3 linked regions of the Arabidopsis thaliana genome follow. The protein of the gene in region 1 interacts with the protein of each later gene in a pairwise test. Each region holds a gene or a part of one and is shown on either strand. Other genes may lie near its edges.

Evidence for each region. The genes of interacting proteins can lie anywhere in the genome.
Region 2: the proteins of AT4G05630 (region 1) and AT2G17150 interact in a two-hybrid assay, tested with the Arabidopsis thaliana proteins (one large-scale study listed by BioGRID).
Region 3: the proteins of AT4G05630 (region 1) and NAC105 interact in a two-hybrid assay, tested with the Arabidopsis thaliana proteins (one large-scale study listed by BioGRID).

Annotation. Positions count from the first base shown.
Region 1 is NC_003075.7:2,987,317-2,990,839, forward strand, and holds AT4G05630 (B3 domain protein), read right to left. Parts: upstream 1,507-3,523; coding exon 1,132-1,506; downstream 1-1,131. Other genes in the region: AT4G05631 (uncharacterized protein), read right to left, coding at 2,690-2,872, 3,254-3,319.
Region 2 is NC_003071.7:7,465,484-7,473,468, forward strand, and holds AT2G17150 (Plant regulator RWP-RK family protein), read right to left. Parts: upstream 6,104-7,985; 5' UTR 5,692-6,103; exon of another isoform or gene 5,391-5,691; intron 5,212-5,390; 5' UTR 5,051-5,211; coding exon 4,217-5,050; exon of another isoform or gene 3,936-4,216; coding exon of another isoform or gene 3,867-3,935; coding exon 3,819-3,866; intron 3,740-3,818; coding exon 2,731-3,739; coding exon of another isoform or gene 2,648-2,730; exon of another isoform or gene 2,405-2,647; coding exon 1,566-2,404; 3' UTR 1,204-1,565; downstream 1-1,203. Other genes in the region: AT2G17140 (Pentatricopeptide repeat (PPR) superfamily protein), read left to right, coding at 131-257; AT2G17160 (Interleukin-1 receptor-associated kinase 4 protein), read left to right, coding at 7,271-7,303. UniProt on the Arabidopsis thaliana protein: Probable transcription factor.
Region 3 is NC_003076.8:26,478,563-26,483,318, forward strand, and holds NAC105 (NAC domain containing protein 105), read right to left. Parts: upstream 2,967-4,756; 5' UTR 2,686-2,966; coding exon 2,511-2,685; intron 2,219-2,510; coding exon 1,944-2,218; intron 1,872-1,943; coding exon 1,443-1,871; 3' UTR 1,204-1,442; downstream 1-1,203. Other genes in the region: AT5G66290 (uncharacterized protein), read right to left, coding at 131-219, 487-571, 664-750, 844-879. UniProt on the Arabidopsis thaliana protein: Transcription activator that binds to the secondary wall NAC binding element (SNBE), 5'-(T/A)NN(C/T)(T/C/G)TNNNNNNNA(A/C)GN(A/C/T)(A/T)-3', in the promoter of target genes.

The DNA.
Region 1 (3,523 bases):
GTTAAAAGATTTAAAAATTAAATAATCATTCGAAAGAAAACTTTAAATTGATTTAAATTATAAATATTTTAATAAAAATATTATTAAAAAAATAAAAAAATAATTTCACCGAACATGATTAGATAGTAGGACTAGATGGTATGACGTGTTTATAATATTATAATATATAAACTTTATAACAATTAAAGAAATATTTGAAAGAAAACTTTTAAATTGATTTGAATTAAATATTTTTTAAATTAAAGTATTATTAAAACAAAAATCACAAAATAATGTCTAATTTTACTGAACAGGGTTAGTGGTAGGACGGGTTTGGTCGACAGTATTACGAGATGGTATACTACAAGTGAAATCCATTAGATATGTTTAATTTCACTGTGCATGATTAGATGGTATGACGGGTTTTGATCGATAATAATACAAAACGATATACTACGGATGAAATCCTAGATATAACAATTAAAATCTATATATACATTATCTTAAACACTAAACAAAGCAAACAATATTAATAAAACAAATATCTACATATACATTTTATATAACAAATTTTATTAAAAACCTAGCCCCGCGGTATACCGCGGGTCAAAATCTAGTTAGTTATTATAGCAACTGATAAAAAAAATATAAATTAGATGCCGATTATGTATAATTCAGAAATGTCATCAGATTTGTTACAACATGCATATAACCTTTTTAAAAGCCAAAATATTTAGGCACATAGAAATTGTATTAGTTAGATTAACGCGTGTTAAAATAAATTAAATTTTAATACATATTAATTTTTGTTTTGCTGTCTTGATTTATTATTTATTGCAAATTATGAGAACTGTTACACAAATGATTCTACCACAAACAATTCCTTTTTATGATTTACTATCAAAATATTATATTAAATTTGAATGTATAGATAAAAAATTTGGAGAAATTGTTTCTCTCGACTCTTTTATTATTTACATATATTATCTTATAAATCCAAATATATATATTTATAAATATAAGAGAAAAACATGTTCTCTAGAAACAGGAATTAAACCAACATAATAAAACGACAACAAACTGGACTCGATCAGACAAACCCGGTATAGATGCATATCCGAGAAATGAAGTTGTGAAGATTCGCTCCATCAATTAAGCAACATGTTTGAAATTTAGTCTAGTATGACGAAGATCCCACCAAAATGCAATAGTATCGCCTGCTTTGTAATGTTTTCTTTTTAGAATATCATTCCATCCATGAAATTTAAAATTATTTCCATCTTGTCTTATGATTACATATGTTGTAATTTGAGTATCAATATCATACACTCCAATCATCTTTGGCTTGTCTTGAACTTGTAACAACTGGACGAGAGTACTTATCTCCATGAAAGGAAATAAATTGGTTTCTAGTAACGCTTTTGGCATCATTATCGTAGTACTCCTATCGACGTCAAATGGTGACAACGTTATCATGATGTTATATGGGTTGTTTGAGTCATACTGCTTATCTGGAAAATTCGCCATGAGTTAGAACAGAAAGATATATGAAAAATCGGGTTTCAATGTTCCTTACTCCGTAAAGGCTTATGCAAGGTTTGTATAAAAATATTTGTTTGTGTTAAGGGTATATATAGTGACAATAAGTTGTACTTATGTACGTGGTTAATTGTAATTAAGAGCTTATACCAATAGAGAGATACTATGTTTTCAAGTTAGATTAAAATTAATTAATTGAATATGTTTTGTCTTACCCAAATAACACTAATTTTGTTTGATATATAGTTTCATAATATTATGACATATATAGTTTTGTAGTTATTGAATTCTAACACGTGTTAAAGTGAAATAAATTTTGACAGGCTGACTTAACATCAAAAAGTTTTGAAGTAAATGTCATTTAAGTATTTGACATTTTTTTGGCTCATGTAGTTGTGAGCTTGCAAATTTAACTCTATAAGATTCTGTAAGATTTTTTTTTTACTTAAGACAATAAATAGTTTTTCTTTTTGACCAAACTATTGTGGCACATAAACTTTAATTACATTCATTAGAAATATGGGTAATATGTTAATCAGTGAATTATATGTTAGAATATATATACACAATATTTTCATGAGTATAATAGATTCATTATTAATTGAACATGTTTTCTCTTTCAACAAAAGTAATAGTTAAGTTTTAGGGGATATTATTGGTTTATGATTTCAAAGGAGTTTTATTGACTTAAAATGTCATGTAAAATATGTTGTTATTCAATCAAGATAATATAAAACTATGTTAATGTTTTGTGTTATTCATTTAAGATTTGTAAAAAGTAATCTAAAATCTTCATAAATTTGGGGTTATTGGATTCATATTCTTATAAAGTCAGTAAGAGTTTTGTGGTATTCAATTAAAACAAAAGAATCTCTTATTGTTAATGATTTAAATTATTATGTTATTGGTTCATGACTTTCTATATTTTTGTTTACAAAATAAAGTCATAAAAAGTAATGAAAAATATTATCAAAATAGAGAGATTGTTTAAGAAACTTTACAAGATTATTGTGAAGCCTAATCTATAATTTCCGATTAGAACTTGCGACTTAGTTTAGGGATTTGAAAGAAAATAGAAAAAACGCAAACAAAGAACACCGAGATTTTACGAGTTCAGGTTCCGGTGTGGAACCCTACGTCTCGCCGGAGATTGACTCCGGAATCCACTAGATCATAGCTCAAACTCGAGCTCATACAAGTGACCGTTACAATCGCTCACCGGATTACAGTCACTCTCAAGCTTTCTCTCACTCACCAACACAAAACCAGTTACTCTCTCTACCTCTAACTCTAAGCTCACGTCTCTCGTCGACTTGCGTAGTCTCGTTGTCACGCTTCTCTTATCTGTTTCATTCTGTTACATACTCAAAGAAGAGTAGAGAAGAAGAAGATACAGAGCCAATGATAAAAGACCCTTTTACCCTTCTAGTTGTGACTTATTACTAATCTCACGTGTGTGCTTCTCACGTGAGCCAATGAAGGAAGCTTGGGTCAAACCCTCTGATTGCTTCAGATACTTATCACACTTTAGCATATATCTTGAGATCGGATGACACTAAACCTTCAAATCTCCACCTTGTCATCGATCTTCTTCACGCTCCTTATCTAGCTTCTTGGATTCCATCTCCGGTACTTGAGCTTCACCGCTCATCTTGAACTTCACCGTTCAACTTCAATGCTTCCTTGAAAAATTGTTTCCTCAATGCATCTTAAAATCAACATGTCTTGATTCTACTTGAAGACTTCCTCGCAGCTGCTCCTTAGAACCCTTTAAACTTGCTCTAACCTTGACAACTCCAATCTTCACACTTCAACAACCATTAGTGAACATATCTTCGATGGAAAAAAAATAGCTGTGATGTGAATCACACCGACGTTCCCGAACCATCGACGTTCTAGTATCACTTCTTGAGTTGTGAACCAACTTTAACACAGACTTGTGTCAACAAAAAACTCATGTTTGCTTCACTTGTTTCCTTCACAGCCTGGATCCTTTTTTAACCTC
Region 2 (7,985 bases), on another chromosome or scaffold:
GAGTAAGCATTCGTGTATATGATTAGGCAGTAGAGTCTTTGGTTTCAAGTGAGTTTACATTAAGAATATCGGTTTAACTGTCTTGTCGGAAACCTAATGAATGTTTTCTCTATCAATCGCTATTTTGCAGAGATGACGGTAGTGGAATTGCGTTAAGGTCTCTGTCAAGAGTTAAAAAAGGATGGGGTCAAGGGGATATATCAAGCTTTCAGCCTCCAAGAGTTGACTACTTAGACTACTGGGAGGACGATGGTTAAGGATTTGCATGACTCTGTTTTCTTTCTGATGGGAAAGTTCAGATGGCGCAAGCAAGTTTTTGAGGTGCAGCTCATCAAGGATGACAGGTAAAGGTAAGAACGAATACTGTTGTAGACACGTCTGAAATACAACAGCCTTCTGATGTAGACACGTCTAATCTTTTGGACAAAAAAACAAAATTCTCGTTAAATCAAAAATCAATTTAAAGTAACGTAGAGTAGGACTTCACATCACTTTCTTCATTTTCTTCCTACTTTGGACAGTAGTATTTAATTTTATAATCAAATAATGATCTTGTGGCATACTCTTTTGATCATTGTCTCCATGCTCATGTGTAAGATGTTAGCCTTATAGTAGCTTGTGATGTACAAGGTTGAGAGATCTCTAACGAAGCTAAATATAACTCTCTGGTAAAAGTATCACGGATAATGTTGAGGAATCCAATCTATTTTTAATAACCTTCATGTTCAGTGGAAAAATATTTTAGAATTGGACCCTCACCTTCTGTTTTCCTGTCTTTGTAGCTAAGCTGGTAGAACCAGACAAGACGACATGGCTGGACAAATATATCCTTGTTAGAACGACGTTTAAACATAAGAGCTGCCTGCTTTCATAAAGAATTTGAGCCCAACTTTGAATTTTGGGTGGGAGGAACACAATCTACATTATTGGAGAAAATGTAAGCTTTCTTGTGCTTTCTGTCGGCACATTTTCTGGTTCTGGAACAGTAGGAGTTTGTAGTGGGGATACAAAGAGACTAAGTTTTATAAAACGTGGAAGACCACCAAGTGTTAGCTGCTTAATTGGAACTAGGTTTCTTCTTAAACATAGCCATACAGATTATTTTTTCCTGTTTTTACAATATCAGTTTTAAATGTTTAATCTCATAATCAATATCATGAAATGGATATTCTTGAATCCCGGCACATTATTTTCCATGTACATCAATGCAATCATGGACTAGATAGTATCCTGTAACCAGACATGTCCCAAAAATAAATAAGCGAAACACACAGAATTTTTCAATCGCCATAGTTCCAGTCTTGCAGAGTTTAAGAAACCAGACAATAAGATTGTACATGCATAAAATACAAGTCTATGGAATTCATCTCTTTTATACAAAAATCTGCTAGGGCAATACAGGAGACCAGTTACTACTGCCACTTCCAAAATGTTGTTCAGGGAACTGGAAATATGTTTATACAGGATTCCCATGCTGAAAAGGTAAGTGAGATTTCTACAAAAGCTAAAAAAATCAGTAGAATCTTCCTGGTGCTTTGCAGTTACAAAACTTCGTTTAATGTTTTTCAGGAAAGACCAGTGTTGCCAAAAGAACCACTTAGCTTGACTTGAGAAGCTTCGTTCAGACTTATTTTAATTGTGTGGGTCTGTGTTAATCTATATATGTCAATGCATTCCACGAGATCCGCTTCACATGTCAGAAGAACCCACTCCTTATCATCATCCAGGTACTTAAGGTCAAACCAGGAAATGTCATCTATGTTGAAACGCCTAGCAATCTCTTGCTTCAGCTCTGCGAAGCCCCAACTCGGGAGTAAGGTAAACCGTATTCTGGCCTCACCAAATGTCGCTTTCACTTTGATGGCACCTCTAGCTCTTAAACTCGTGTTGCTACTACCTGTTAATGGAGATGAATTATCAAGAACAAGAGGCTCCTTGAATGTTTTATGGCTCTGGGTTCTTGCAAGACATTTTGTTTCCTCCTGATTCACATTATGCAGTTGTGCTTCGCTATGAGCTCTCTTTAACACCGCATCAGCATCCTCAGCAACTAGAATGTTTCCAGTATTCTCATTATTGTTGCTTGAACCAGAGCTCTTGCTGCAAGAAGATGATGGTGACCTGGGGTTTTCCTCTGCCATAATACCATTATCGGTTTGAGCATTCAAATGACTTGGCTGTTCATTACTCTTCAAGGAAGGGCCATTGCTAGACATATTTGGGGAGTTCAACTCTGGGAAGCTTGTATAGAATGAATCGAGTTGGATAGAGCCCTGCGCACCTTGGACAGAGTCCATAACTAGTTGGAGTTTCTTCAACGAATGCCCAACCTTCTTGATTTTTCGGGAGGGCCATCGCATTATTCCATGTTGCCTGCATATCCTTTTCAAGGTAGTTGGACAAACTGCAACACAAGAACGAAACCTTGTCAGATCACTGTCTGAGAGACAGATAAATAGCCATGATGAAAATGTTTGTAGAGCATGATGATTGATCCACTACCACATAGATATAATGTAAGACTGACTTCTGGTTTCATTGATATTTATGTATATTGGCCATGGAGTTTTCACATATCCTGAGGCATGAATTTTTGTTCAACATATTCATTTGGAATGTTTTGGGTTTTGACTAATGAACGTAATGGTTATGCTTTTCCCAAGAAACAATAAGAATCAAAATTCATAAAGAATGGGGCTATGTCACCAGCAGTGTACAACATTCTCTTACCACCAATGCTCTTGGCTGCATCCTTGAGGCTTCCAGCAAAGTATTGTCGAAGAACCTCCAAGCCAATGGTCTTTTCTGTTTTTGCTCTTTTTTTCTCCCCTGGTCTCCTACTGCTTAACATATTTCCCCCACCAGTCGAAGCTGATTCTGTGCTTGGACCGATGTCGACTCTGAGTCCTGGAGTTGATGCTTGCTGTAATTGCTCAGCTTCTAAAGGAACATTATTGGGGACTGGATCAAGCTGACTGTTCTCCCGGCCAGATGAGAGCTCTTTAGGATCTTCTTTCTGGTACTCCCAAGAAAGTGATACATCTTTACCCTTCTCGTTTGCCTTTATCATGTGGGCGATCCATGAGGATTCTTGCATTTGAATTTCTGTCAACGACTCTACGGTTTCTGCTCCACATAGCAGGTTTTCTGAGAAGAGCATTGTCTCTCTTACAGGTAATACGACTTCTAACTCTAGGTCTTTGATGAAAAGATTTGAACTCCTGAAATCTTGCTGCAGTGTCACACATAGTGACTTGAGCATTTCCTGTTGCGCTTCAGTGTCAAGGCATGCTTTCGGAAAGAAAAATTCCAACACAAACTCAACCAAACCAGATTTGCTCTTTAATGGAACTGCTAAAGCAGCATGTAGTCCAGATATCTTGGCGTGGTGTGCAAGGGGGTAGTTAGTCTTGCTAAATGTGGCCACTTCGGGCACAAAAAAGAGTTTGGTGGCTTCAAATGCTTTCCCAACAATGCCTTCCCCCTGGAGCAGATGGTGTTCAGAGCATGCCTCCCAAAAACTTTTGCTCTGTTCGTCGGGGACAGAACAAGCAGAATCGATTGTTGAAACACACTCAGAGAAGTTCTCATCAGAATGTCGGGAACCAACTTTCCCTTGCCGAGCACACGGCGCCCATGACAAAGCTAGAGGAAAATCATATGATCTGCAGATTGTGGCCAGGAAATCTTTTATTTCAGGTAATGCAGCACAGTAGAAATCACTATAGACCTGCAGAAACTGAAACATGGAGTATGACCTTAGCAATGCATATCGTTGTTTCTAGGAGCTGAATGAACTAAGAATCCAGTTAATGCACCTCAGAGCTTGGAGTGTTCAAGTTACTTGAACTCCTTAGATCGACGGCCTGCAAAACAGCAGCGTCTTTAGACTGTTGTGGCACATAAACAAAACTTCTCACTGTTATCACAGACATTAATCAAAGAAGATTATGGCTGAATGACTGACAGGAGGAGACATGATGCAGAAAGAAAGATGTAGAACAATCAAAGTACAAACGTATGCAGAAGATGTTGTTGGACTCTAAAGAAAACCAAAAAACAAACTGGACAAATGTGAGGAATTGAATAATGAGCAAACAGAGAAAGCCATCCAGTGAAAGATACATTCAAGCATGAGGTTTACTGGTTGTATGGGTCTAAACATGTGAGGTAAGCGTTGCGGGATCTATAGAGTAGTTTGAGGTAGAGGCAAAACCTCAAGAGCTTTACACATCTTCTCAAGTTCTTGCCGGTAATTCATCTTCTGAGTTGTTGTGACGATCTCAACAACACCCAAACAAGTCCCACTACCTCTTTCGAAAACAGGAAGGGCAAGTGAACCACGAACATCACACTTTTGTGCTTCTTTGATGCGTGGATATTCATCTCTTCTAAAGAAACGCACATCAGGAGTCCACTCAGGAAACTTCTGCAAGAAAACACGACCGGGAAGACCCACAAAATCTTTCATACCCTCATCAGCCGGGAAATTATAAGTCTCTGAAACATGTCTGTATTCTGCAAGGCTGGAGTATTCTTGGTTGAATAAATGTGGCTGAGCCCAAGTAGTAAGAAAGCTCTTCCCTTCCTGCTGAATTGGCACCCATATCTGAACCAAGAAGTCCTTATCTTGCACCGCCTCGTTAAGACCACTAATAGCTTGTAGTAGCCTCTCCTTCACAGATGAAGACGGGCCTTCACTTGCACTTGGAGCAATCCACCAACTTTTTCCCACCTCAGCTTCTTCTAGGAGAAACTTTTCAGCCTGAGGAAACATTCTCTCTGTTTCTTCATTAGAGAAATTATCTTGAGATGGATTCTCACCAAAGCAGAGGAAAGGGCTATTGTCATTCATGGCGGTAGAAGCTGAAGGAGATTGTTCTGTCTGCTTCAAGCTCTTACTATCTGTTGTCTCTAGCCAACATCCATCAAACAAGAGTTCATCCATGAAATCCAAATCCATGGCAGTGTCAGCGAATGCCCCAAAGCTAGAATTAGGTGAAAACCCACCATTTCCTTCGCCTCCATCACTACCACCATCATCTTCCATGTCTAAAGATTCGTTTTTATACCTCCAACAGATACTACCAAATCCTCAAGTTCTCAGAGACTGTGCTTAGCTGTTGTTTACTCAAGAACCGAAACTCATAAGGGTCTTGAAGATGAATAGAGACAAGACAAAGTCCTCTCCTTGGAATGTTAAAACCCAATCTGAAAAAGTTGCAGAAACATTGTCAAAGACCCACCCAAGAATAAGACAAGAGAAGAATCATATCATAGAGATGCTATATAATCTATATAAGTAGCTTCGCTTTCAATGAAGAGTTGACTTAAGAAGGTATCCATCAATCAAAGTAGAGTGCCATCAATTTCAATTACAAAATTCTCACCTATGGACATGGAAACGAAATCAAATCTGATTGTCCATGAAAGGGTAAGATTTTCACCAAAAGTTACTAACTTTATCAAGATTTGTTTGCACAAAGAAACAGAAAAAGCTTCACTTTGGGACCTATACCCAAGAACACTTAGAGAAAGCACCAACAAACAAAAAAAAAACATTGAGAAGATGCACAGACTGGATTTTACTCTGTCTAATGTAAAAAGTAATTGGTCTCTCTATTTCTTCATACATATAATGGTAAGCAAAATCAAATCTGAGAATATATATAAACAAAACAAAAACAAAACCTGTGAAATTTCTTATCACAAGAAGCTTCTCTCTTTCTTGAATGGTGTGTTCTTTTTTTCCTTCTTTTTCTTCTGGACACAAGTACTTGGTGAAGGTGAATGATTAAGATTGTTTTAGTCTCTAAAGATGTAATTATGAGCTTCAATATTCTTTTTAGAGAGCAAGTGGACCCGTGATAAGAGCATCCACTGTTCTAATCACACTTACATACAACTTTGTCTGTACCTGTAAATCTGTAATAATAAAGAAAGTAAACAAACAGTCGCTTGGTTTCTCAAATTTAAATCAATCTTTTCTTCTGAAAGAAAGATCAAAGAAGGAAACAAAAAAAAAAAACAAGTTTCTAAGTTTTGGTTTGGAGCCTGATGGTTAAATGTTCTTATTTAATCGTGTGATTGGTGTTATTCTGACCTCCTCTTTGTTGCCCCTAATCATAATTAATTCGTATAAGATTATTATTATTATTACTATAACAGTTGTGGTGATTACGTATGCGTACACTTTGTTTTATTTCTTCGTCGGTACTTTGTGTTTTTTTATTCGGGGATGTTTCATTGGTTAGAACTTGGCTGTATCAATCGGATCAAGATCATTTCTTAGAGAAGACATGTCTTTCGTGTTGAACAGGTTCGTTCGTTCATCAATATAGTTTGACCTTTAATACTTTATTTTCGATTTCTCTTATATGAATATTCTTTCTGACATCAGCTCGAGTCTCAAAGTTTAAAACATTTTGTATATAGGATGGAATCTATATATGATCGATATATAAATAATTGCATTAAAGGCATAATGATTCACACAATTATGGTAATATTTATTCTTACACATGAAATTGCTATTTATGTTCCAAAATGTCGTCATTTTATTAATTTCATGACAAAAATTACTGTCATAAGTTGGGTGCTAACTAGACAGGTTGTGAACTTCCCAATGTTACACATTATCTAAATCGATATAAAAACAAACCCAAAAAAAAAAAGCGAACAGAAGAAACAAATCATTCATCTTAGGTTTCATCATTCAACCAAATTTAATGATTAAACTTGAATATTTGTGTATATAATATATTAATATGTACATTGATATCCAACGGGTCGGGCTTAGACGCTTAGTTAAATGATCAAAACGGCCCTCAATGATTTGGGGAGCCATAGTCCGATCCCCATTAGCCGCGTCCGGGACAATGACATGACCAAACCAAAGGTCATCAAACTCTTTGAAAATAGTTGAATCCTCGTGTAAATCATAAATAACGTATCAATAATAATCAAAGGTTTATACTTTATACTATAAATGCGCACGACGTCTCTTTCTCTCTCTCTCTCTTCCTCTATTTCTTAGATTTGTCATTTGTTATTCGTCTGAATACGGCAGGTCCTATCTACACATGTAACAATAATGTCGTTTAAAATTAGTGTTTTTAATCTCACTGCCAGTACTATAAGATTTTGATATCATATAAGATCAATATCATTGATCGATCCGAGACAAAAGAAAGAAAAACTAAATTATGTTCATTAATCGTTATGTATAGCGTAAGTCGTGTGATGTCAAACCATCTCGTGATTGAGTATGATGGGTACAAAAGCTAGGAGACCAAACCCTGAGGTAAAGTAATTACTGATTGTATGAACAATTTTTGTGTGAGCAAAAAAAAACCTGTAAAATATATATATATGCCCATGATAAGATGATATCACATTTTTGTAATGAAAACGGTGTGATTTAACTAAATTTTATGTCCTTATCTTGGTGCATACAAGGCGTTTTCAAAGATACATATAATAATTTCCCGTACAATCGAATAGAAGCATTGGATTATTGGAATAATACATGTTTTATCGTACGGTAACTTAAGTGCTTACTCGGTTCTGTTTGATAAGGTATACGAAACAACATTTTCAAGCTTATGCCTTCTTAATGATCTAATTAAGTATGCTTAACTGTTTTTATTTGCTTAATGGATATGTTGAAGTCAAAGAACAAGAGGTAATCAGTTCTTGCTTGTCTCTTCATACTATTCATATCTGAATGTGATGTTATATAATATATTCTTATTGTAGGAATCGTGAACCCTAAAAGTGTGACATTGATTTGGTACTAAATATCATTGTGAATCTGCTAACTGGAAAGCGAATTCCTCCAAGCCATGTAAGCCATTCTGTTTCAAACCATGTAAGCCATTCATCTTGACTTTGTGACTTTAATCCTTAGAGAATCTGTCTTTTTCAATTCCTTGCAACACAAGTCACATTTCTGCTGAGTAAATTAGTTGTGATATAGTAATCCT
Region 3 (4,756 bases), on another chromosome or scaffold:
TCTTAGTGTCTGTTTCAATTTAAGAGAACCCTTAGGAGTAGCCTGAAGTCTAGTTTAAGTTCTCGGCTAATAGCAAAAATTTCTTAAAGACTGCACTCATATACATACAAAAAAAGGCAGAAAGAGAGACCTGTCTCTTGGTAATTTCTTGAGCTTTGTTCTCTTGCCATTCTCGGTAAATGGAGAAGAGCTCTACAAGTATTTGAGGATCAACCGTATCTGGGAAACAGTTGACAACAAAGGCAAAAAATTAGAGTTGAAAAAAGGAGACTTGTAGATGAATGAAAATATCTTTTCATTATGAAGCTTTAACAGTAAACGAATACATTAGCAAAAACAAAAAAAGTCCAAAGATATGTCTTCTTCTATGAATAAATTGTCTTCCACACAACAAACGATCAATCATTTTGAACATGTTACATAAAAACAGCAAGTCCTCTTCCTAAACTCAGTTGAGCAAACTAATCAGATAGGTATAAAACTCACTGGAAGAGGAACTGGATAGAGCTTTTCTCACTAAGATATCTGTTAAGCTACTTTCCGTGGGAGGAGACTTCAATATTGGCCTACTCTGCAATTATCATATTTTTAAGCAAGAGCAAACATGTTCAATCGAAAAAACATTGAAAAGGGAAAGACAAAAGAGGAGTAGTAGTAACTCACTACTGTGAGAGCTTTAAGATTCTCGAGAATGGGATCGACTATTTCTGATCGATGAGATATAGTCGTAATCACATCACCTCGATTTTCCTGAGAATCCATCAAAAATTGAATAAATCAATCTCGCATATATAATAGACCCAGGAAGATGCCTGGAGAATCAAATCGCGATATATCAGTTACCTGAGAGCCTAGCAGAGTTGAATCTGATGCTCCCATTTGCTTCACAGACTCCGATTAGGGAATTTTATTCAAGGAATCAGCAGTTCCGTTTTGGGAGAAATCTGGAAACGCTCGTAGCAAGGTTTTCTCAACTCCGCCAAGGAGAAGGAGGAGGAGACCGCAATATGACGTTTCGCGCATGTGCAAGACAACAGCGTGCCGTTTTAAACCCCCAGTGACGACAATGTGTTAAAACAAAAAACGCCAGCTCGTTGGATATTCAATGGGTAGGACTAGGAGACAAAGCATGAGTAACACAAAGCCATGCTTCACCACGCATGGTAGACAAAAGCCCATTTTATTGGGCCCACCTTGAGCCCACTTCTTTATTAAATATATAAAAATATAAATCACCGTAATTTGAACGTATATTTTCGAGTCACTAATACATTATACGAAACAAACTGAGTAAGTGTAAAGCCCTATATATATCTTCTTATTCGATTCTCACCTTCTATTTATCCATCGAAATCAATTCCTTCGGTGAATTATTACGACCATATATGTAAATCCAAAATGCGACGACGTTTCTAGTGCATGCATGCATAGGAAAGCCTTTTTTAGTCTTCTCCACTCATCAAAAATTGAGACGCCACGAACTTATCTAGATATCTCCAGTCAGTGATCCTCTTCTCGGAGCTCATGTCATCTTTCCGGCTACTGTTCTCAGAAAAAGTAGTACTATGGGGAGTTATTTCCGACGGAAGAGAGGGGCTCTCGAGCTGAGGAAGCTGGGAGAATTGATCATCATCGATGCATTGAAGGTACATAGATCCGAAATCTCCATCCTGGACGTGACTGGCCTCGGAGAGTAGTTCTTGCTTGAACGGTGTGGCGGTAAAATCAGGATTATGTCTGGCTCGCTTGTCGAGAGGTTCCAAGAGAGTGGCGTCGTCGTAGAATAAGCAGTTCGGATCCCAAAGTTGCCTCCTTTTTGTTGGGATGGTCGTTCGTTTCTTAAATGCTCTACACACTACCCATCCTTCTTCCTGCTTCACCATTTAATCTAGCTAGATCAATCAGAATGTGTGGCGCTATAAGTGAATAAGATTCCGAATTACCTGTGGAGGAGAGTTCTGGTGTGACTCGAGGCTGTAGTATTCGTGAATGATCCAATCGGACTTTTGGCCATTAGGCGCTCGACCTCGGTAAAAGACAAGCGTTTTTCTCATACCGATAAGTTTGGAGTTGAGGTAAACCGCCTTGTCCCGGCCCGTTGCTTTCCAGAAACCGGCCACGGTGGCTCGGTTTGTCCTAGTCCCAGTCGGATACTTCTTGTCTCTATGGCTGAAGAAATACCACTCCGTTTGCTCCTCGTACCCTATCCTACATCTCTCTACACGTATCACATTTAGGTTACATATTACTCTTTCGAGCTACACAGTATAGTTGCTTACATGTGTAGGTGGTATCGTTTAAATCATAATTCATAAATTAACCCTAACTTCTAAAACTTGACCTCTCTAGATGTAGCCTTATATGTAGGGTCACTCGGGCACATAATTCATAAATTGCACATATAAAAGACGGAACCAATTATATTATATGAACGATTGATCACATGAATAAACATTGGTATCGAGAAGATATAAGAGAGACAGATAGAGAGAGATAGATATATAATATACCTTGTAGATCCCATGGTTCGATCTTGTAAAGATCAATTTCTCTGATAACGTCGAGATCAATCCTCTGGGAGGCGATTTTCTTCTTGAGATAATATCCGACAAGTTCTTCATCTGTCGGATGAAACCTAAATCCAGGCGGTATACTACACGAATAATCTTGATCAACCTTCATCATATTGATAGTTATTTTCTAGGATTTATTTCGCTGCGGTTTCTTCTTGATCTTAGAAAGATCGATCATAGAAGAAACCCGATCAACCGACTCTATCAAGGGAAAAACAATAGAACGAGAGTCTTATTGAAGATGTTGGTTAGGTATAGGAAAAGAGAGATATGGACCGTCCACTTGAACGATGACATGTGTGTTTAGACTTCAGAGTGTAATCATATGTTCATTTCGCGTTGGCGTAATTCACCATCACTCTTTCTGTACATATATGCACATTTATATACAAGATACACAAAAATATATGTTAGAAGATATGAATCTACAAATTAATATATATATATATATATGAAACGAAGTAATGATTATGTTACAACTTAGAATGGAGACATATGAAAAGGAGATTAAAAAAAAAGGTGGGTGGCTCCGTTTTGAGAGAAACGGGAGAGAGAAGCTGTGATTATCATCATTTTGTTTTTGTGTTACTTCATGCTCAAAATGATGTCTCCTTCAACAATCCTGTATTCTTTATTTTATATCATATATTCGTTTCCTCTTTATATATGTATTTAAAACACTCCAAATTATGAAAAGAATGACTATTGGAAATACTGAAGCTCGATGGTACGCGCGGTTGTAGTGCTACATTTTCAATTACAATCTGACGTTATGTGTCAAATGTGCTGATGTAAAACTTGTTTTGTCTGTTTGTCGTTAATTCTAGGGTCAGCACTCTGATCTCTGTGTTTGACAAAACAACTACATATTTCTCTCTCACACTTGATCTCACGCCTACAATACGATATGTATGTATTTTTACCTATAAAGCTAGTTACGTTGGTGAAGCGATGACCCGATCAAGTATATAACTTAATGTTAATTGGATACAATTCCTGCCTTTTTTTCAGCCAAAACCAAAAGGTTATATATGTAGAGGATGTTAGAGATGAATAGAGATTAAGATTTTTAGATGAAAAAGACATGCAATTGATCTTATATAAAGCATGCTTTAAGCAAGAGATCATATGTGTTTGAAAGGTCATCGGGTCATAAAAGAGGAATGTATACTGTATACAGTTTTAGACTTGACTTTGTGAGAATTGGACATTGGAAAATTGTGGAGCCCCTCCGTTTGCGCATGGTTTTTATGTAATTCTTTGGGAGTCAACTACTAGTAGTACAGTAGACTAGTAATGGTAGTAGTAAAGGGTTATATTTGTCATTTTGAACGCGGCTGTTGAAAACAATGCCAAGAATGTTCGGAAAGAGAGGTGAAGTGGAACACACGTAGCCGAATAGTATTGGTTAAACGGTTAAGTTCTTTACGTAGAAGGGTGAGGGCAACAAAGAAGCGAAGGGTTTGAATGGGTCTTAGCAAATTAACATTTACTAGAAATAAAAAAATAAAAACGTTAATGGACTCCAAATTTGGCGGTGGTAAAAAATCAGATATGAACCAGCGCATTGACAAATAAACGTGATTTATTAATCATGCTCTGGTTTGAAAAGGAAGTAATTAATATCAATTTCCTTATTCTTTAAATTATGCATATAACAAAAATAATTTCAATGCAACCATTATGAATTGGGATTACATGATTGAAAATCATTCACTCTATACACACTCCTAACCCCAAATCAATAAAACCTCTAGTCTTAGTGTTTTGACTTTAGCCGCTCATAAATATCTGAGAATGATGATATATATATATGCGTTTTTATTTTAAACTTTTTGTTTGGTATTTAAGAAGGAATTGTCCCGGCTTAACATTTCTATCTATGACTAGATATTAACCCGCGGTATACCGCGAGCCTATATTTTTATTAAATAAAAAATAATTGAATAATTTTTAGGATGATTTAATAAATTTATGCTATTGTTTGATTTAAATGTATAATTCACCGCGAGACGAAATTTTATAACTCAAATTTTAAAGTTTTAAGTTGTATTTGTTTATTTTGTTAAATGTTTAATATTGTATAATTGTATTTTGATTGTTGTTTCTCGGATTTCACCCGTAGTACACCATCCCATATTAATATCGAATCAAACCCGTCAATTCTAGAATTTCACCCGTGG